Alligator mississippiensis: one gene and its partners. The protein of the gene in region 2 interacts with the protein of the main gene of each other region in a pairwise test. Links are inferred from orthologs where the notes say so. Each region holds a gene or a part of one and is shown on either strand. Other genes may lie near its edges.

Region 1 (7,256 bases), on a different chromosome or scaffold from region 2:
AGAAGCAGGAAATACCTTTACCGAAAGGTTCTCTGCAGTCGTCTTTCTGGAGGTCATGAGGCAGATCCTTCCTATTTTCATCTTCACAGGAGTCCAGAGGATTTCCTGGTCTGGCTTCCTGTTTCATTTGGGGACAAAATAAATAAAAAAATAATAATTTCTATTGTGTTTTTAACATATGTGGTTGTTTTATGTTGAACAGTGTTTCAGGAACCCTTCTTTGTCTAATTTATTTTGCAAATTATTTTAAACCATTCTGTTAAGATTTGATTAACTTTGTAGATGTTATTGTGCAGTAAATTATGGAATATCAGATGCTTCTTCATGTCTTTACTGTGTTTTTTAATAAGTGTCAAATGTGTGGAAAGTATCTGAAAGTTACACTGGACTCCAGAGTTTATAGTAAGCAGTGACACTCGGGGATTTCGCACACAATTGACAGTCTGTCCAGGCTTTCACGTGATGCCGTGGAAATGGAAGTACTTCAAGGTTTTATGGAACCTTAGTTATACTGAGGTCAAAATCTAAAAAATTAAGCTTTAAAAATCTATTTTTGTATTTCATGTGTGCAGTTGTTTAATTATGTTGATATGGTTGCATCCTGTGGAAAAAAATGTTTAAATTGCTAGCCTAAAAGTCCCCAAAAATAGGTAGAGGTGGTTAGGCTTACATGGCTGCTTTGATTTCTGTTGAATGTCACTCTGCTTTGAGAAACTCAGTATTATCTGGGGGGGAAATGCTTTTCTCTGGGGAAGACCTCTTAAAATGAACAACTTTTTAAAGTTTTAAAAACCTTGCTCTTCCCTTGCGAAAATGTTTTTATTTATATTGGACAGACTTGATTTTTATAATTACAGTAGGTGATACGTTGTTTGCTAAAGAACACTTCACTGAACAAAAAAAGCTTTGCAGCTTTGTGAGTAAGTAAATAAATTAAATGTAATATTTTCACCAAGAGTTTCTAGAGAAAATTCTGCATTCATGATCCATTGCATGAACTGAAAGTTAGGGTTAGTCTAAAAAATAAGCATGGAAGAATACTTAAGAGACCGTACAGATACTTTGCTTTCATGTGAACAGAAAAAGGAGTTTCCTTGGCTTGTTCCAGTATGAACTGAAAGGTAACACAGACATATATTTAAAAACAGCCTTTATAATTTTAACCAGTTTCTTTCTTAACAAAGAATATATCAATTTAACTGCAGATTGTGTATACAGTAAGGTGATAATTTTATACTGTGCTAATGTAATGGATTATGATGAAAATAGTTCATTTTAGAAACTTACTTGGAAAAAATATTCATGCTTAAACGTTGCAATGTTACTACTTCCTGTGGGTGCTTCGGAAGGTGAGCAAGTGAGGCTCTGAGAATCTTTATTGGGTCACTCCATGGGGCATATGATTATGGTAAGTGAGATTTGGATGTGATCTTTAACATTTAGCTGATGGTATGCACTCCATGACATACCTTTCAATGGCCTATGTGAAATCTGTTTATCTAGTTCCTAGCTTCCATGGCTCTGCACTTCAAAAAGCCCTTACCATCCTCACAACTGGATAGCAAATTGATGCTGACAGGGGAAAAAATAAATGAATAGGGAAATTAAAATAACATCTCCGGAGAGGTGGCATACCCACAAATAGCGTTGGGTAGTCTGGGAAAGCTACTGGCATTGCATGTTATGTGTCTGTTTGAATAAATAGACCAGTAGCTTTTACTCCAGGCCCCTATCCTTCCTGCAGCTTTTCCCACCACATTCCTAATATGCTTCAGTCATATCCTGGATGGGCCATTTCAGATGGGGAGATAGTAACTTAGTTTGCAAACTTCTTTATTTAGCCTCTCTGCTGAGATTTAACCCTTTCTAGTGAGAGCTGACACCTGTATTGAGGTTTTGTCCTAATTGAAAATGAAGCGGGACTGCACAGAACTCATTTTATATGGTCTGTGTAACAGCTATCAGATGGTTGGCACTTACTCATGGTTGACATGGGCTGTATTTGAAGCAGTGAGAAGTGAAAGTGTCTCTTGTTCCAGACTCCCCCGGCTTATTCAGTCCTCTTGATGCAATCTTTAATTCAGAAATGGTAAATATAAAGGCTGTTCTTTGGTGAAGTTATTTACTGACAGTGCTTAAGCTACAGTGTTTAAAATAATATGCATCTAATAGCTGAAACTTTCTAGAATTAATTCTTCCAGGAAGTGGAAAAAGTGTCCTTGGCATGCAATCTAGTTTGATTTTTTTCTTTTCTTTTTTTCTTTCTTTTCCTTTTCCTTTCCTTTTCTTTTCAGGAGGAGATTTAATAACTTAATGCATAGCTCAGTTTTACCAAACTTACCAATAAACTCAGTTTTATTTGTAGTCTTGTGGTATTTATCTTTTTAAAGCTGTTGCTTTTGGAGTCAAATGATCATGTGAGAATCTCAGATTTCATTATTTTTAATAGCAAGTTTCTACTTCTCAAAGTTACTGAGAAATGCTTGGAAAATGTGATCCATGTGTCTGAGAGGCTCAAACCAGAACACACATAAAAATTACTTAATGTTTATTATTGATTTGTAAGCCCATTTCATGGTTTTTGAGGCCTGACTTTGTATGTGTTTGGCAAGACTGACAATTGTTGTAGAATATTTTAAAGGATATTTTGGGGAGACTTTCAAAGGCATAAAGAGCAGTTATATGCTCAAGTACTATTAGTGCCTTGATAAATCTTATTCATTGCTTATTTTTGCATAGTTCTTTCTGTACAGAATAAATAAGATTGTATTTAATGACATTATGAATATCTGACAGTTATGATGTTGTTTAGCCATCTTGAATCAATTGTCTTTATACTGTTGTAAATATTAAAGATTTTATTTAGCTAATTTCTAAAATGTGTGGATCATGTTTTATAACAATACTAAAGTTGGGATGGCTTCCCTCCAAGTTACAGATAGAAATTATTTTGGTAATGTATGTGCTTGCTTTTGATAAATAACCAAAGATATTGAGCTTCTCTGCCTTAGTTTCAAAACTCCTTGCCTCTTTTGAGTGTTTTTTTCATATGTACTCAATAAAAGCTTTTAGTTAACCAAAATAAATATTTTTGTAATGATAAGCATTTATGTATGTAGCCTTTTTAGAGGTAGCTCAGAAATGTTGGGCTCTACTGCCTGATGTAAATCAATTCTCTATTTTTCTTGTATCTGCTTTCACTGTTTATTTAACAGTTTTGAGCATCGACCATCTTGTAGTATCAGGATGTCTTGAGGTATAAGAAATCCAAACAGTGAATTTTTATAAACATGAATGTATTTAAATTGTTATTTTAAATATTCATGTGGGAACCTCTGTGCTTTCAGGACCTGATCCAATCGCAATTACTGACTCACGGTTGCATTGCAGCCAGACAGGTTCTGATATATAACGTCAGTGGCAGATTTTTGTCCTACAATTTAATGTTCTCCTGTGCGGTTGTTAATGTTTTTAACAAGAAAGTCCTTAAAGCTAAGAGTCCGCTCCCTACAAAAAATATATATATATATATATATGCATATTTGAATGGGACTTAAAAATACGTAAGACTAAATACGGTCTACTTAATGTACATCTCCTTAACAGGTTCGGCTTTCTTGCTTTGGTTTTAGTTTGTCATAGCAACACTCTTAAAAGAAAACGAAATGGAAGTCTTTGCCGGTGGAAGCCCTGGCCTCTATTGAAATTCTGGTCTCGACTCGAGCGTGTCCTTTCTGCCATTTCAGTTTTGCATCGTTACGTCCTTGCTGCATCCTTCCTCTTCTAACTCCTGCAATTGCTTCTGGGTCACGGCAGAAATGCAAGCTTTTCCTAAGGCTGAGGGTGCTTTCAATGTTAATTTTGTTCTTTATATCTCTGCTGCAGCACCTTTCAAAATGACTAGCACAAATGCAATGAATGGAAAAAATAAAAAATACCAACCGAATTTGAGTTTTTACAGCAGCTTTCAGGGACACAAACGAAACCAGCCCAGCCTAGCCCAGACAACCACAACCCCTGCTGGGGCAGCTCTGGCAGCCAGGCCTTACACAGGCTCGGCCTGCGCCCAGGCCGCCCCTCCCGGGCCGCTCGTCTCTTTCCGGAATCGCTCGTCTTTCTCCGGCTTCCCTCGGCAGTGCACCGCCTCGGGTGGGCGGGGCCCGCGCGCGCCGATCCCCTCCGAGGCCGCTCGGCTCCAGCCGTGCCCAGGGCGCGCTCTGCGGCGCTGACGTCACCCCAGACCGCCCTATAAAAGGGACCGCGGCGGCCGGCGTGAGCAGTCAGTGTGTGAGGGCCGCGGGGAGTGGAGAGGTGAGGCGCGGCGGTGAACCCGGCACAGACCCGGTGAGCTGGGGCGGGGATGCGGGTCGGAGCCGAGCTCCCTTCCCCCTCCTGACGCAGCCGTTAGAGGCAGGTGCAGCGGCCCTGCGCCCGCCGCCCTCGAGCGGGGAGGGGGTCGCGGCGGGCCCGCCCCTGCGGCAGGATCCCGCTCGGCGCCCGAGCCTAGGCGAGGCCCGGCCATGGTCAGCAAAGCCCGAGAGTGTGGAGGCGGCGGGGCTGCAGACCCCCGGCCCTGGACTGTAACCGCACCCACACAGCTCGGTCCTTCCCCCTCACCCCACGGGGAGAGGCTGTGGGAAAAACAGCTCTGGTCTTCCAGCCCCGCGTTGTAGGGAGGCTGCGAGCTCCTGGGGACTGTCCCTGGCTCATCTGGTTTGTTTGTTTTTTCCTCTTCATCCTGCAGTCCCAGAGCATCGCCCCCGCGGTGCGGTGCTAAAGCGCGTCCGTCTGCCCGCGGCTGCCCCGCGCAGGGCGGGGGAGGACATGAGCCTTGGCCTGTCCTTCCTGCAGCCGCTCCTGCCAGGATTCAAAGAATAAACCCTTTCTTTGATATTCCAGGTGTCCCCGCGTGTTTTGCTGCTGCTAATCGGATGTTGTTGTTGTTGTTGTTGTTGTTGTTTTCTAATTGGAATATTTTTTTCCATAGAATAATGTTTTCCAGTTCATTCAAAATAGACCTGATGCAGAGCAATTTGCCAGGTAGATTTACATTGGAAGACAGTTGTGCTGAGGTGGAGGATGGACGCAAAGGGGGAGGAGGGGGGAACCCTGGAGAATGATGCTATATCTTTTTCTGGAAAAAAATCTCTTACATCAAGACTGTTCCTTATGGCTTTGATTCCTTCTGGTTCTGCCAGAAGATTTTACTGATTCCTCTTGTGAGAGGCCTTGATCAAGGCTTTGGATGGCTTCAGAATATGTTTCTTTAACAGAAAAATTGCTGGGTAGCCTTGTCATTTAGCTGCAGTTAACAAATGGGTCTTGCCATGAAAAATTGCATTGAGTGAAGCGTATGTAAGATGTGTGCAGAAAAGAAGGAACAAAAGGATTGAAAAATAGGAAGGTTTCTGCAGCATCGTGAAAAAGTCTCATAAATTTGGCAACAGCAGTGCTGGTGTATAGAAAACGATTGAACCCAGATTAGGTAGATGATGCTTGCTTAATTTACGTCTCTGCTGCAGTAGCAGAAGTCATACATTTGGAAGGGTAGGCTTAAGACTCTATTGATTTAAAAAAAATGTAGATGGTGCATTGCTTTTGAGCTCCTTAGTGTGGTGCTCAGAAACAAGATCAAAGCAGCAATAAAAAACAGGCTGAAAGAGGAGTCTTAAACCTTGTTTGCCATCTTTCCCTTTGTACAAGGAAGGTAAAAGGAGTCTCATGCTTTTCAGACAGGTTGGCACTTCTGGGTATGATGATTCATATTGGCGAGGTTTTGTGTTTTATAACCAGCCCTCATCACTTCATGAAAATAAAACTGTATAGAATTTTATAGCTAGTATTGCCTGTAATAGACTAATAAAACAGACTCATTTTGGGGATGATAAAATATTTGACTTCCCATCAGCTTGGGGCAAGTAATTTTTAAGTGTTATGCCTTCCCCCACCTATAGTAGAACATAGGCATTTGTTTTTTCCATTTGCCCAGGAGCAGGCATCAGAATAATGGGGTGGAGCAGGCTGCAGATGCTCCTGGAGGAGACTGCAAAGTGCAGGTCAGCACTGTGCTTCCATGGCTGACTGTGGATCAAATAAAGTGGCAAACTGCCTTTTTACTGCTGCAGTTGATACACATGATGCTGTGGAAATGCCATGATGAATAAGCAGTAGCTCCAGCAAGCACAAAGGCACATAAAACTGCAGTTGTCCATGTACTACAACGCAGATTGCAGTGTACCCAAGGGGAAATGCAGGCTAGAGCCTGCAGGGAACTGAACAAGTAATAGCACAGTGTATTGGCCAAATCTGCCAGCTATTAAATGAGTCCCCCCAATTTTTCCTGTTTATAGATGTTATTTGTGTGCATGTTACAAGAGAGATTAATCTTCAGTGTTTAAGAAGGCATTTAATGCTTGTGCATTACATGTTTTTAAAATCTTAAATTTAAGCCGTGCTAGCATTTGAATCTTTATTTAACAGGTTGCCACAACTAGTTGTTTTCTTTACTTGTTATTTTGTCCTTTTAATTTTATTTTTAGGGGGTTTTTAGTTGAAAATGTGTATGCATCTTAAGCCAGCTGTCAATAGCATTCATTTCATTGTATTACTGGTTTTAACTTTTATGCAGAAGCCTGCCTCACAGTTGTTCCAAATTATTTTATGGCTGGGGGAGAAGAGGTGTGATTCTGTGATACAATTTTTGACAATGTACATGCTTTACTTGCGTTCTAAACATTTATAGTTAGTGGAATGTTATCTTGGTTTCAGACTCTCTACATTCCACCAACATGTTGTCATCATTTCGTAAAGTCATAGTCCAGGTATTTTTACAATATGCATGTAGTAGAATTGCCATTTTTTTGATTTGCCTGCCTCATTGCAGTGATGACATCCTTGTACAAAAAGCCACTTGAGAGTTTGTGTGTATATAGAGCATAAAAATAGAGCAGGTACTTTCTTTGCCCTTTGGAGTGCTGATTCTGGAATGCTTTTAATCTAATATTACTGCTTTCTTCCTTCTGCTGTGAAGCATGATGCTTACACATTGTGAATTCCTTATGATGGTTTTGTATGATCTTCTGCTTCTGGTGATGTGGATTTTAATTTTCTAAAAGATAATTTGCCTTAAAAAGCTATTGGCCAAGATAATATCTTTGATTACAGCATCTGAAAATCTACTGTAACATACCACATATTGAAAATACTGTAAATCAAAAAGAGTTGACTTTTGTTCCTGCCCCATTCTTTGAACAGAT
Region 2 (6,909 bases):
TATAAAACATACCAGGGGCTAATGATCCTCTGGACACAGTAAAAAGAAACAAACAATGAAGACAACAAACCAGATCCTCAAAAGGTGCAAAGTGGCAAGGTTACTACTGACATAGGGCTCCTTGCGTCACTGCGACTCTCAGGGAAGAAGTAACAGTGCTCTGGAGTTAATGCCTTCTTCCCTGTCAAGAACATGACCTGTGAGGGCCACGTCTGGAATTAGTAAATTCTCACTGAGGTTTCATCCCTTTGTTTCTCTGGGGCTTAAGTCTTGGCTCATTACCCCATCATCACAAAAGCTATATTTCATCCCAAAGCACTTCACAAATAAGTATTTTATAAACAGCATGCCAGGGTCACTTCATCCAGCCCCGGAGTGAAACGCTTGAAAAATCCAACAGTTGTGCAATAGCGCACAATGCTCCACAACCATTTAGGCCAGTGAAGAACACTGCATCAACTTGAAACTGTAGGGGGAACTTAAATAAACAGAATGCAATCACTCCACTTGGAATTAAGCCAGAGTGCTAGCCTGCACCCCTTTTTCAGAGTCTGATGGGTATTTAGGGCCCTCTAATGCCATTTAAGCCTTCGTTCAGAGAAGAGCGCCATCTACTGATTCATCAACTCTACATCCCTACATCAGTGGTTCTCAACTGGGGATAATAAGATCCTTTTCGGGGTGTTACAGTAATATTAGCACTATTAGGTATACAGACACCTACCTACACATAATTCCCAAGATAAACTGAGAGACTTCACATAGGAATCCATAATGTCAAAAAAGTTGGACTTGCTGTGGTCTTTCTGAATTCTTTGCAACAGAATAATTGCTCTGTTACTTTTATGTAGTCAAGAAATGATTAAAATCAGTTTTTGCAACTGGATGCTGCTAAATTCAGAAACGTTATGAAGGAGTACCTTGTGTTTTAAAAGGTTGAGAACCACTCCCCTGGGTGCTCCAGGTTCTCTATCCAAATACTGAACTAGGCCAAACATTTTTATCTTGTAAGATATCCTATTGTTTCATTACAATGAAATACATTTACCAGGCATAAGGGAGAATGCTGAAAAAAGACCAACTTTAAGATATAACCTAAAATGGAACACCACTTAAATGCCTAGTAAAATAAAATATAAGTCTTAAGGCTACTGACCAGACGCCACAGCCCGTATGGGTGGACGATCTTAAAATATCTTCACAGTTTAGACATGCAATTTTCAATGTTATTTTCAAAGTAAGCCTAAGAGGACAAGGCTAGAAAATTCACAAGTCTTATTCAGTGTGCAGACCAGCATTTAAATACCATTGCTACACTAAGTAAAGGTCTTTGTCTGAGATCTCTTCATGTGAATGGGTCTACCACAAGAAAAACCAAACAAAACAAAACAAAAAAACAGGTAGAGCTTTTAAAGTAGACTCTTCAAAAGCGTATCTTTTCTAGCAACAATCTGATCACAGCATTGCTGTATTAATAATATGCTTAAATCCCATAGATGAAATACAGATAGCTATGAATTGATACAGGGATATATAATGACTAGTCAGTTTGGTGCCTATTTACATCTTAATTTACTGTCAGCAATTGGCTGCATCAAAATTTGTGATCATATCTTGACAATCCTATGACAACTGCAGTTACATAGTACTACATGGTGTTCCAGTAAAATCCTTTTAAAAAAAGATTTTACTGAAACAGCATCCTGCTGCATTTCACAAACAGCAGAACTTCTATTCACTGTAAGCCTTCATTTCTTCACAGTTTTACACCTGGATATGGGACAATTTCTTAATTCCCTTCCCCCATCATTCATTTCCATTTGAAATTGATGAGACAAAAAACCCCAAACATTTTTCAGTATCAAAACATTAAAAACCTAGTCATTTTGCCAAAGCACAGATTAGCAGACAACCTTGTCTACATTTGGTATGAAATTTTGAAAGTTCAGAGAAAAAAAATTGGGTGGAGAATGCCAATTGTGTATGCAAAACTGATCAGCTCATCTAGTTATATACTACTTAAGTAATATCATACCCGCCAGTGTTTTCAGGGGTATTTATAAAATTAATATAAAAGAATTATTGCTATAGGAAGACAACATAGCAGAAGATGACCCTGATGTTGTCATAACACTTCACCATTTTTATCTGGCCAGTTTTATGCTATGACTGTTAAGAAACCATATAAACCTAAAAAAGTGAAGACCCATGAAAGGTCAAAAAAAAATTAATAGACCCTAATACAGTTTCATTACAGATTAAATCATCAATTATGTTAGTACCTCTATTTGCTTTCTTTCATATAGCTTCAAAAGCCTGTCATGATTTTAACAGACCTTGATGCATGCATATTTGAGGTATGGGGGGGAAGGTACATTACTGAACAGCACTAATCAACAAGGTCCTAATTTTGTACTTTAACAATCACAGTACTTCAAATGTTTGCCAACAAAACCCCACCCAAACCCCAAATTAGTCAGATTATATTTTTAATGCAATTCATAGGATATTCAGCAGCTACAAGATTATGAAAATGGCATGTATACTCTGCAGCAGCACAAAATCTAATCCCATATATGATCCAGACATCAGTATTTTCTCCCTTAACTATCATGATGTCTATTCCTTATAGAACAAGCATCTGTCAGGTTTGAAGGAACCAAAAATAGCAGAGACCTTTTCAATAGAACAGTTTGCTTTATATTTATAACTCTATACTGTACTTGCAGTGTCTGGTTATATGACTATAAAATATGTGCAAGATATAATAAATTATCCAGCTTTGCACTGCATCATGCAGTTAGCTATCGTTTACCTGCATTTCATCCTAGATATTCCTTACAACACATAGGGTAGATATTTTAAAATTCAAGAAACATTTGCGTCTTCAAGAACTAACTGTAGAGCCGGCTGACATTACACAGCAAAAACCTTGTGAGAACAAAAACCAAGCACACTGATGTATAAAACAGAGAGCCTACCTGAATTCTTCAAATGCATACATGGCCTAGTAACTAAACAAATTCGCTGAAATTTAAAATATTCTTCTTAATGTGCAGGAATACCATTTAGTTTGTCAATCTGCAGCAAGATGCATAATTAAGAGACAGTATATTGCAAATATTCTGAAGGGAAAGGGTATGCAGATACTGGCCTGCAGCCTACAGCTCAGCCAGCTGCTGACAAGCAGCAGCTAACAGGGAAAGGCGATAGAGTACCATGTGATCATTCCAGCAAGTCTGATTAATGCAGTATACTCCAAGAATACAGCCCGGTATCTTTATTATTCTAGCCAAATAAGTCAAATACTTTACATGACAGACTCTGTAGCTAAATGATTGTTCACATTTTACATCAGAATCACACAGAGGACAAAGAGAAAGCCAACTAACATATGGTATTAATGTTTCAATCTGATAGATTAATTAGGCCCATTTACACTGATTTTCTTAGCTTGCAGTGATATTTATTATCTTATGGTGTTTTTTATGCATATTGAATTGTCAGTGTCACAACAGAAGATTAGCACCATAAGCCCCCCCTTCTATAAATGCCAGAACATATTAAGTAGTTTTTCTACTGCAGACTATTCCTGACCATTTAACTCCTTCACCCCTGAATTCTCTGCTATCACATTCAATTTGTAACAACATGTGTGGAATGTGCCAAGTCAAATTCAGGCTTTAATGCCAATAAATCACAGGAGTGCAACTGAAGAAAGACGGATAAAAGCCAAATAGTCACATTTTAAAATAAGATAAAAATAGAAATGGGAAGAGTTGACAATTTTGTGATTTGTGGCATGTGATTCAAGATTCTTCAGCTGCCCAGTCACAGACCAAAACACCCCGGGAAGTTCTTAGATGAAGAGAACACATGTTCATCTGAATGGAAAGTTTCCCAAAAACAGTAACAGAACTTAAAGCCTTTGAAGTCACATGATGAAAACATGGAACAAGGGAGTGTGAAAGGATGCCACCAAAGTACAAATGCTTTATGGCAAGAAACTGGAGCTAAAAGATATTCCAAGCACAGGCTATGGAGAACAAAATTACATCTACTATATGTAGAGAAAGGGGGAAAAAAAACCCAGGAAGATGCAGGACGCACTCCTAGAACGCTTCGAAAGACGAATCATATGCTCTTCAGTAACAACCAGAGAGAACCTATGTCAATAAGCATGACTGCTAAAAAAAGTGGAAAATTAGAAGACAAAGAGCTGTCATTTCCCTGCCTGCTGAGCCACACACCACCTTTGAGGGGAGCTTAAGACTGCTAGAAACACAGGATCAAAGCCATTATCTGTTTAGGCAGAACCTGCACCTGTAAAAGAGGACACTTCATTGGAGGATTCCAAGAAGCTAACCCTAAACCCAAGGAGCCTTCAAAGAAGAAGACGCCTCCAAGAGAGCCAACCGCCACTAGAATCTTAACAAAAACTTGGCACTGAATTTTTCTGGAGCAAGGAGGGTTTTTCTTTAGGGATGAAAGTACGAAAGGAACAGTAAAAACACTGAATTTGATTGTGTAAAAGAAAATAAGTTGTGACAACAGGAATAAAAACTCCTGTCATAATAACATTACATGCCCTGGTTGGCCAGTTCGTAATGTTAGGTTTTGATATGTCGGCTATAAAAAGTTGTATTACCATTACAATATTGTAGTAATTAGAATGCACAAGGTCAAATTTTCCCATTGGTTATGCCCTTTTGATATCTGATGTAAACAAAGGGTAAATTTGGCCACAGAAGTATTTTATCCTCTGAAATGCATATTAAAATGCAGAGGTGAAATGAAAAGTGAATACTTTTGATCCACTCAGGTGGTGTAAGAAGGGAAGAGACTGAAGCTTTCAAACAGAAGAGAAAGTCACCTCCTTCAAAATACAGTCTGGTGAAAGCACGTAAAATACCTAGACACAGAAGTGGAATCCACCTGGCACCACTGAAAACAATAGAAGTTTCATCCTTAGCTACAATGAAACAAGGATTTCAGCTTCGAAGTCAAGGTTAAATCTGGAGAGAGCCCACAGAAATAAAGAAAGAAAATCTGAAGGAGGGTTGCCTACCTAATTTTTGCCCCTAATCCTGCTCTGAAGACAGTGGCTAAACTGCTGTTGATTTCAGAGGAAGTGAGCTTGGCCAGTGTGTGTAATGTTCAGTTTTGATATGCCTGCCATAAAAATGAATTGCATTTAAAAAAATATATCCCCCTTGGATTTGAGCTCGCTAAATCACTGTCATGACTTTCGATGCTGCAACCACTATGAACAAATATGCAAAGAAACAAGCTGCTGTTCAAACCATGACATGGTCATCAATGGCCACTCTGTCCAGGCTGCAGGATGGTGTAAAGGGCAAACACCCTCCAGAAAGCTTTTGCAACAGTGGACCTTTACTGAAAATTCTGACATTTAACAAGTTACCTTAGTTTCAAGCCAATGTTTTCCCAGCTACTTGTAGAGTTCTGTACCGTCCATTTAGGAGCCTTGATCTACAGTGGAAGTAACTGTAATTTCTTGAAACAAAATAATGAAGAGTCCCATGATGAGGAAAAATCTGACCATATACATGTCACATTGTCTACATCAATGAAGATTAGCGTATGAATGCCCAATCGTCTGTATAACTTTAAAAGGTATAATGAACACAGGAGCAGCAAAAATGTCAATGCCTTATGGATCAATAAGAATGGAATGATCCTGCCAGAAGCTTCTTAAACAGTTGCTAAACACAATTATTATTTTTTACTGACAACCTATACAATTCTTTAACTGATGTATTTTATGCAACGTGAATGTAACCTTTCTGCCAGGCTCCGGATGGCAGTAACAAGGGCCACATTCGACTTTAGGGGTTTAACAACAACTCTTAAATCTGGCCTGAGCCCACACCAAGAAACCTGAAAAGCAAATGTAACTGGATGTTCTAAAGTGAACAAACTTTCCCACTCACAAGTAATGTTCTACTAAAACAGGGTTTATTACATGTGTAACAAGGGATAAACATACAACCATAGAGAAAACCTTAACCATTAAACATCAAGTGAAACCCAAACAGTTAATAGACTAAGTCAGCAGCAAAACTACCCAGTCCATTGGAACAAGAGACTCACCCAAGGAGACACAGACATTGCCACCCACCCTGTCCTGCCTGGTGCCTCAGACTGCACAGACCTGCCCACTTTGAGGCAAACAGCTGTTACAAGCAGGCAATGGCCTATAGGATGCAGTGGCAGCACATGACGGGAAGGGGGGCTCCTGTGGCCCACAAATCCTGACAGAGAGCTCCCTGCAGGATGCTCACCCACTCAGACACAAAGTGGTGTTGCTGTGGTCTCATTGTCCATCAACACTGGCATCCAGCCTCTTTCTGATAACAGATCTTTAATCAAGCTCATAGTTTCTTAGTTTTTTTATGGACAGCTCCATGCCTTTTCTTTCTCTCTTTTTTTTTTCTTTTTCCAGACAAGTGTTTTTATCGCTTTTTTTTTTTTAAACAAAATGTCTGTAAACTTACAAATAGCTGGCAACCCTGATCTCAATCAAACTGCAACTTCTGATATCCATGAGTAAGAGTACCGAATAGTGGCTTTATGGTATCTAAGAGAGAACAAAAGGAGCCGTGTGCATCAGAAACCACAAAAGGCAAAGAATAATTCAGTGATAACTCGTTTGTTTGAGCTGGGTAAGCAGGGAAGAGTACAACTGAAAATAAATACCTACCTCATACCCAAACCCGTAATTGTGGAATAGAACAATAAATCCAAATCAGACTTAGTTGGACATTTGGGCAATTATAATTATTGGTAATGACAAACAAGGAATCCCACTCCTCATGTTTGAATCTAATCCAGGTTGCTCAAGCAGTGATAGGTACCATAATCTATTACAATTTGACAGCAATTCAG
Region 3 (7,964 bases), about 16 Mb from region 2:
AAAGAGGGAAACCCTTTTTTGTGAGTGCCTAGTTCTCAGCACATCTCCCGTTTCTGAAGGAGACGTGATAGTGCCTCTCTCAGCATGCGTTTCAAGTCATGCTGGGCAAAGACTGCAAGACCCTTCCTAAATGAAGTTCCTCTTCTGTTCTGCATGATCCAAAGCAAACAATTAGCATCTACTCCAGCCTTGATGGCTTTCTTCACATAGGCAATCAATCCAGCACAAAGCGATGTATAGTGGATGCTCGTGCCCTGTGTGTCTGGAGGTGTGTTGTGCAATAATATCTTAGGGAAAAAACCCACACGGCTTCATCAGATATAAAGAACGCAGCTACCATGTCATCCGAAACAGCCCGGAGAGAGCTTTCCTCGGCAGCCGTAAGCTTCTGTCGTGTCTTGTTTTGGAGCCCACGTCGCCAATAAGGAGGCATTCGTGCATGTAGTGATAGACTGCGCACGTGCTCCTGGAGACGATTCAGGCTGGGCTCTTTTTAGTCCATACATGATACTTCCAACACAGGAGCTAAAGAAAAGTACCCCCCGCCTCCCCGAGCCATATTCAGGTGGCCTCAGCACCAGTATTGGAAATGAGGAGTAAAGGAGAGAAGTTGCCCAGCCTCTGGGGAGCCCAGCACTGCCTCTGTATGTGACTGTAGCACCCCAGCCCTTATCCCCAGATCAAAAAGGGGGCGTCTGAAGGGCAGAGCTCGCTCCCTCTGGGTACTTCCCAATAGATCCATGCTGCATGCCCCGAGCAGGGAGCACGCCACACCTCTACCCTTGCAGATCGTCCCTGTGAACAGTCTGCAGCTCTTGACATGCCTTAAAAAGAGTCCGAATCTGTGGGTGGGGAGGGTAAAAATAAATGATGCCAGGGGAGTGCGGCCTTACCTGAAGGGCTAAGTGCAAAGACCAAAGCTGGGGAGGCTGGATGGGTGTAAGAGCTCCAGCAAGGAAAGCCTGTCCCAGTGCAAACCCGTCTGTATGCAGCAAGAAACTACGGGGGGAGAGCAGAGGAAGCCAGTGGGAGATGCGGGCGTGATGGGCAGCAGCATCACTTCCGTGAACCACGCAGCAGTCGGAGCCTGTCTGTGCTAAGATGCCCGCCATGGCCACCCCCTGCTTTCCCACGCTCCTTGGAGCCAATGGGTCCCACCTCCTCCCTCCTGTATGTGCGCAAGGAGAGAAATGAGGCCTGGCTCACAGTGCTGCCTGCAGTCAGTCTGCACCCCCTCAGGTCGGGGAGATGTAGCGAGCCAGCCTCAGTGTCCCCTTCTGTGCCACCAAACACCCAGTGGTCACTACAGCTTCCAACCCCAACCCCTTCCTCCCACCCTTAACTATGCCAAGGCAGCCACAGGTCCTCTTTCACTTGCTTTACCTTTCGCCCCTCCACTGTAGGGTGACTGGGAGCCTTGGCTCATCCGCTCCCCTGAGCTCCAGGGAGGAGCTCTAGGGACCCTACCATGGGCAGGCAGGCCTCAAAGGCACCTCCAGCAGTGCCAGCCATCACCTAGTTCAGAGACAGGGTCGTCCCAATGCAAAGCAGCCCATGGAAATCCTTGTCCAGCCTATTACTAAAACTACATAGGTGACCCTGTCACACAGCCGCAAAGCACAGCACCCGAACCTGCCCCAGGTAAAGCAGAGGACCGTGGTGGCCAATGTCCCCTTGCTGTAAAAGTTGCTAATACATGCTAAGAGGAAGGCAAAACCCCACAGCCCATATAATCTAATCAGGGGGCAAAAGTCCTTCCTGACCCCAAATATGGCATCAATCTGACCCTGAACAGAAGGGCAAGGTGTTCAAGCCAGGGACCTCCAAGTTGACATCCTGGAAGGAGAATTGGCACTGCCCAGTCACAACCCCCAGCCTGGGCTGCAGCCAACACTCATGCCTCTGAGAGAGGTGGAAAACCCCTCCAAACACTCAGCCTGTCTACCCTCTTCCAGCTGCAGGGCTTTATCCCACTTAAGTCCAACACCCAGCACAGGTGCAGCATGCAGGACTAAATGAACGGGGCTGGCCAGTGCCAAGCTGCCTGGCCCTGATCCTGTTTCAGTGCTATTCATGCACCCACACCGCAGTGGGCAGGAGCTGCCCTGTGCTGAGCGACGTCGGATGAGAACTTGAAATCTCTGCCCGGCTCAGTAGAGTCGTATTGCAGATCCCCCCCGCCTTTCTAACAGGCCTGTTTTATGCACAGAAAAATCATGGCTGTGCCTTGCTAACAGAAAACTTCCCTTCACTGCACACCCAGTTGCATTGGTTCCAGACGAGGGGTTTTCAATCTTTATTCATTTGCAGACCCCTACAAAATCTCAAATGGAGATGTGGACCCCTTTGAACTGTAAGTGTGGGGATTCACATACTGCTGATTGATCACAGTCATCTTTCCTGGAGCCCTTAGACATAGTCTGCAGGACCCCAGGGGTCCACGGGCCATAGGTTGCAAACCACTGGTCTAGATGCAGCGCGTGCTTTCTTCTCCTCCAACCTCTCTGAGACATCTGCATGGTGTAGCCCGGGCACCGTGCCCTCTGCAGTTCTGCACTTGCCTTATTTGCTGCAAAAAACCCAGCCTAGGCGCTACCCACCCTAACTTACACATGCAAAAGCACATTTAAGCCCAGGTCCTGGAAGCCCTTATGCACGTGATGACTTTTAGTTGCACCCATTGACGTGACTGCATTCTACTTCAATGGACCCTGTGCATGCAGCTTAAAGTTAAGCCCGTGCTTACGTGTTTGCAGGAGAGCCCAGGTGCTACCGAAGGGACCCATCTTACTGTGAAACATATGAGAACATCAGAACTGCAGTTTACTGGGCCAGACCATAAGACCGGCTGTTGACCATAGACAATAGACCACAGTCCATCTTGCCCGGTCTCCTGTGCCACACCGGGGCAGAGGCTTCCTTCAGGCAGAGGGTTGAGCTAGTTGATCTCAGAAGGTCCCTTCCAGCCCTGCTGCTTTCTGCTTCTGTGAATAACCCCCTGGTCCAGTGGAGTGTGACTGCTCCAGGGCTGGCACGGGGCACCCCTGCCGTGGGTCAGGCTGGAGGGCAAGGGCAGGCATTTGGCCCGGGGGAAGGGGTGGTGGCACCTCCACAACCAATCTGTGCATGATGGCCCTTCATAACTGCATATCATCAATAATACATATAACTCCCTGCCAATAAAAATGAAGGCATGCAAAGAAAAATAATGACATGCAAAGAAAAATAAGGGGACGTAAATACAAATCATGACATGTAAATAAAATAGGGGCATGCAAATAAAAATAACAGCATGCAAATAACATAATGGCATGGAGATAAATAATGGCATGCAAATAAAGATGATGCCATGCCAGTAAAAATAAGGGCAGTTAAATAATGATGCCATGCAAATAAAGATGATGCCATGCAAATAAAAATGATGCCATGCCAAGAAAAATAAGCACATTTAAATAACGATGAGGCCATACAAATAAAGATGATGTCATGCAGATAAAAATGACGCCATGCAAATAAGAATGATGCCATGCCAATACAAATAAGGTTGTTTAAATAAAGATGACGCCACACCACTAAAATAAAAGCAGTTTAATAAAGATGATGCCATGCAAATAAAGATAATGTTACACCAATAAAAACGATGCCACACCAATAAAAATAAGGCCATTTAAATAAAGAGGATGCCATGCCAATAAAAATTATGCCACAGCAATAAAAATAAGGGAAGTTAAGTAAAAATGATGCCATGCAAATAAGGATGATGCCACACCAATATAGATGACACCACACCAATAAAAGTAAGGCGGTTTAAATAAAGATGGGCAGGGGGTCGGATGTGATCTGTTCAGGTCCCTTCCGACTCTACCAACTATGAAACTATGATGCCACACCAATGAAAATGATGCCATGGCAATAAAAATAAGGGCAATTAAATAAAAATGATGCCATGCAAATAAGGATGACGCCACACCAAGAAAGACGATGCCAGTAAAAAGAAGGGCATTAGAATGAAAATGATGGCATGCAAATAAAAGAGTGGCCCGCCCAACAAGATGACGCCACGCCGATAAAGACGACACCACGCCAATGAGACTAAAGGCGTTTCAATCAAGATGACGCCATGCAGACAAAGATGACGGCACACCAATAAAAATGACGCCACGCCAATGAGGACAAAGGCGTTTCAGTCAAGATGACGCCACGCCAATCAAGATGACGCCACACCAATTAGAATAAAGGCGTTTCAATCAAGATGACGTCATGCCAATAAGAATAAAGGCATTTCAATCAAGATGACGCCATGCAGATAAAGATGATGTCACACCAATAAAGATGATGTCATGCCAATGAGAATAAAGGCATTTCCATCAAGATGACGCCATGCCAAACAAGATGACGCCATGCCAATAAAGACGACCTCACGCCAATGAGAATAAAGGCGTTTCAATCAAGATGACGTCACGGCAATCTAGATGACGTCATGCCAATTAAGATGATGCCACGCCAATAAAGATGACGTCACGCCAATGAGAATAAAGGCATTTCAATCAAGATGACGTCATGCAGATAAAGATGACGCCATGCCAATAAAGATGATGCCACACCAATAAGAATAAAGGCGTTTCAATCAAGATGACGCCATGCAAATAACGGTGACGTCAGGCCAATAAAGGTGACGTCACGCCATCCAAAGGCAGGTGACTGTAAATACAAATAAGGCCTTTGCAATCAAAACAGGGCATTTCCACGTAACCTGGGCACACCCGTGCCAGGGCGGGCGAGGAGGAGGACGCGCAGTGCTCGGCGCTGCACGCCCCTGGCCCTGGCCCCGCCCGCTGCGCAGAGCGGGGGGCGGCGGCCAATGGGAGCGGGGGGGCGGGGCGCGGGGCGGGGCGGGGCGGCGCGGCGGTGCGCTGCGCTGGGAGCGGCGCTGGCCGCAGTGCCGGAGCCGGAGCCGGAGCGGGAGCCGGAGCCGGTCGCTGCCCGCGGTGCTGAGCCGTGCCCCGATGGAGGAGATGGAGGAGGAGCTGAAGTGCCCGGTGTGCGGCTCCTTCTACCGCGAGCCCATCATCCTGCCCTGCTCGCACAACCTGTGCCAGGCCTGTGCCCGCAACATCCTGGTGCAGACCCCCGAGGCCGAGTCCCCGCAGAGCCGCCGCGCGTCGGGCTCCGGGGTCTCCGACTACGACTACCTGGACCTGGACAAGATGAGCCTGTACAGCGAGGCGGACAGCGGCTACGGCTCCTACGGCGGCTTCGCCAGCGCGCCCACCACGCCGTGCCAGAAGTCGCCCAACGGCGTGCGGGTCTTCCCGCCGGCCGTGCCCCCGCCGCCCCACCTGCCCCCGGCCGCCACGCTGGCCCCCGTGCCCCGCAACGCCTGCATCACCTGCCCGCAGTGCCACCGCAGCCTCATCCTGGACGAGCGGGGGCTGCGTGGCTTCCCCAAGAACCGGGTGCTGGAGGGCGTCATCGACCGCTACCAGCAGAGCAAGGCGGCCGCGCTGCGCTGCCAGCTGTGCGAGAAGGCGCCCAAGGAGGCCACGGTGATGTGCGAGCAGTGCGACGTCTTCTACTGCGATCCCTGCAGGCTGAGGTGCCACCCGCCCCGGGGCCCCCTCGCTAAACACCGCCTGGTGCCGCCGGCCCAGGGCCGGGTGAGTAGGAGGCTGAGCCCCCGCAAGATCTCCACCTGCACGGATCACGAGCTGGAGAACCACAGCATGTACTGCGTGCAGTGCAAGATGCCTGTGTGCTACCAGTGCCTGGAGGAGGGCAAGCACTCCAGCCACGAGGTCAAGGCCCTGGGCGCCATGTGGAAGCTGCACAAGGTGAGAGCCCTGCCCTGCCCTGCCCTGCCCGGCCGCGGGGGGGCTCGGTGTGTGGCAGGCCCCTGAGGGCCAAATCCTGCACTTCGGGGTCCGCCCTAAGGGTCTGCCACTGGATGCGGTCCCGTGCCCTCGCTCTGGCTGCGCATCTGATGCTCTCCCTGCCTTGCAATGGGGGACGGCTCCGTGGGGACACGTCCCCACATGCCCTCTGCCAGGGGTTGGCACGTGCCTGTGCTGGGGAAGGGGTGCACCGGCGTTCCCCGTCCGTCTTTCCTCCCTGCTCGGCGTGCGTCCCCAGGGCTGGGCCGGGAAAGCAGCAGGGAGGGATGGGCCTGCCAAGGGCCCCCACGAATGGGGGGAGAGCCTGCCCTGGGGACCTGGGTGAGCATGGAGGCATGAGAGGGGGCAGGCAGAGCCAGGGCTGCCCGCTTGGTTGCACACAGATCCGCCACAGGGCAGCATCTCCCTCTGCTTCATGCGTCCCCTCTCCGGTAATCCGGGTCTGTGTGGCGTGTGGCTGACCCTGCCTGAGGTAACTAGGGCAGAAATGACAGGGATGCAGAGAGACACGGTGCGGATCCCCCGGGAGCCCCCGCGCAGCGGTGTGGGAGAGCTGCCCCGGCCCCTCAGGAAACGCTTTCCAGGAACGCTGCCGTCCCGCCGTGTCATGTGCGGAGGTGTGGAGGCAAAGAGCCCCGTGGTGGAGCACATGTGTGGGCAGTGCACGGGGTGGCATGGGGGAGCGAGAAGGGCAAGGGGGTGCTTCTGACGGCCCTCGGGGCTGCTCCTGCAGGGGCGATGCCCCAGTGGCTCTGGGAGCGCGGTCTTCCTGAGAGCATGCAGTGGGGGGAGGGAGTGCGTGCGTGTGTGTGTGTGTGAGTGTGAACTCTGTGTGCATGCATGTCCATGTGTGGCCCCTGTGTGAGTGTGTGTGTATGTCCTCCTTGTGTGTGTGTGTGTCCTCCTTGCATGCGTGCGCGTGTGCGTGTCCTCCATGTGCATGTGTTTGTCCTCTGTGTGTGTGTGTGTGTGTGTGTGTGTGTGTGTGTGTGTGTCCCCTCCATGGGTGCATGCATATGTGTGTCCTCCAGGTGGTTGTGTATGTGTGTGTGTCCTCCATGTGTATGTGTGTGTGTTGTGTGTGTATCCCCTCTGTGTGTGTGTGTCCTCCGTGTGTGTGTGCATGTGTTTGTCTTCCATGTCTGTGTTTGTCCTCCATGTGTGCATGTCCTCTGTGTCTGCACGCATGTGTGTCCTCCATGTATTTGTTTATGTGTCCTCCACGTGTATGTGTCCTCCGCATGGGTGGGGGGGTGGGGGGTGTGCATGTGTTTGTCTTTTGTGTGTGTTTGCCCTTCGTGTGTGTGTCATCTGTGTGTGCATGCACGTGTGTCCACCGTATACATGTGTCCTCCACGTGTATGTGTCCTCTGCATGGGTGTGTGTGTGCATGTCTCCCTCCCACAGCCCGATGAACAGGCTCCCCACTACGACACTCTGGTGCATGTCCTCATCCACCCAGTGACACCAGTCACCCCTGGGTGTCGGGGCCTCCCTGGCTTTCTCGCGGGGGCCAGGAACAAGCGCGTTTCCCATGGAGGGGCGTACTTATGTATTGCGTTACGCTGAGCCGCGCATCTCCGTACAGCCTTGCAGTCGAGGGATGGAGGCGGATGCGGGCCCTGGGGAGCTGCCTCCCAAACAAATATCGCATCACAGGCGAGCAGTGACATCACACGGTTTGGCTATGAGTCTATCCAATTTAACTCCTCCTCTTCTTGGCGTTGTTAGGGCTCAGTCCAGCTGAGCTCTTTAATTAAGTACATGCATAACATTAAGCCTTTGAAGAAGCCTCGTTAGCTATAAAAGGCCCGTGCCTGCAGTTAAGCCCATACTAAAGAGAGGGGCTTTAGTCCCTTTAATGAATATAGAGAGTCCTAGGCTGACCCCTTCATGAGTGGATTTTAACTCAGCTGCTCTTCGGAAATGAAGCCGAGCGGAGATGCTCTTTTGGAGGCCTTTGGTGTCACCGGAGGTGATCACTTCCCTTGCATGTCTTAGCTTCCTGAGCCGGATTTCCGAACATTCGGTCCGGCTGTGCTTTCTCCTGAGTCACCCTGCCGTTCGGCTCAT

The links.
Region 1: the proteins of EVL (region 2) and SPTAN1 interact in binary tests that used the Homo sapiens proteins (3 or more experiments, as listed by UniProt). The link is inferred for Alligator mississippiensis from reciprocal best matches to the Homo sapiens genes EVL and SPTAN1.
Region 3: the proteins of EVL (region 2) and TRIM9 interact in binary tests that used the Homo sapiens proteins (3 or more experiments, as listed by UniProt). The two-hybrid records come from large-scale screens. The link is inferred for Alligator mississippiensis from reciprocal best matches to the Homo sapiens genes EVL and TRIM9.

What each region holds. Positions count from the first base shown.
Region 1 is NC_081835.1:57,793,419-57,800,674, forward strand, and holds the start of SPTAN1 (spectrin alpha chain, non-erythrocytic 1), read left to right. Parts: upstream 1-4,248; 5' UTR 4,249-4,344; intron 4,345-7,256. Other genes in the region: mRNA export factor GLE1, read left to right, coding at 1-59. UniProt on the Homo sapiens protein: Fodrin, which seems to be involved in secretion, interacts with calmodulin in a calcium-dependent manner and is thus candidate for the calcium-dependent movement of the cytoskeleton at the membrane.
Region 2 is NC_081825.1:282,649,263-282,656,171, reverse strand, and holds the start of EVL (ena/VASP-like protein), read right to left. Parts: upstream 3,020-6,909; 5' UTR 3,005-3,019; coding exon 2,982-3,004; intron 1-2,981. UniProt on the Homo sapiens protein: Ena/VASP proteins are actin-associated proteins involved in a range of processes dependent on cytoskeleton remodeling and cell polarity such as axon guidance and lamellipodial and filopodial dynamics in migrating cells.
Region 3 is NC_081825.1:298,808,767-298,816,730, reverse strand, and holds the start of TRIM9 (E3 ubiquitin-protein ligase TRIM9), read left to right. Parts: upstream 1-4,956; 5' UTR 4,957-5,006; coding exon 5,007-5,831; intron 5,832-7,964. UniProt on the Homo sapiens protein: E3 ubiquitin-protein ligase which ubiquitinates itself in cooperation with an E2 enzyme UBE2D2/UBC4 and serves as a targeting signal for proteasomal degradation.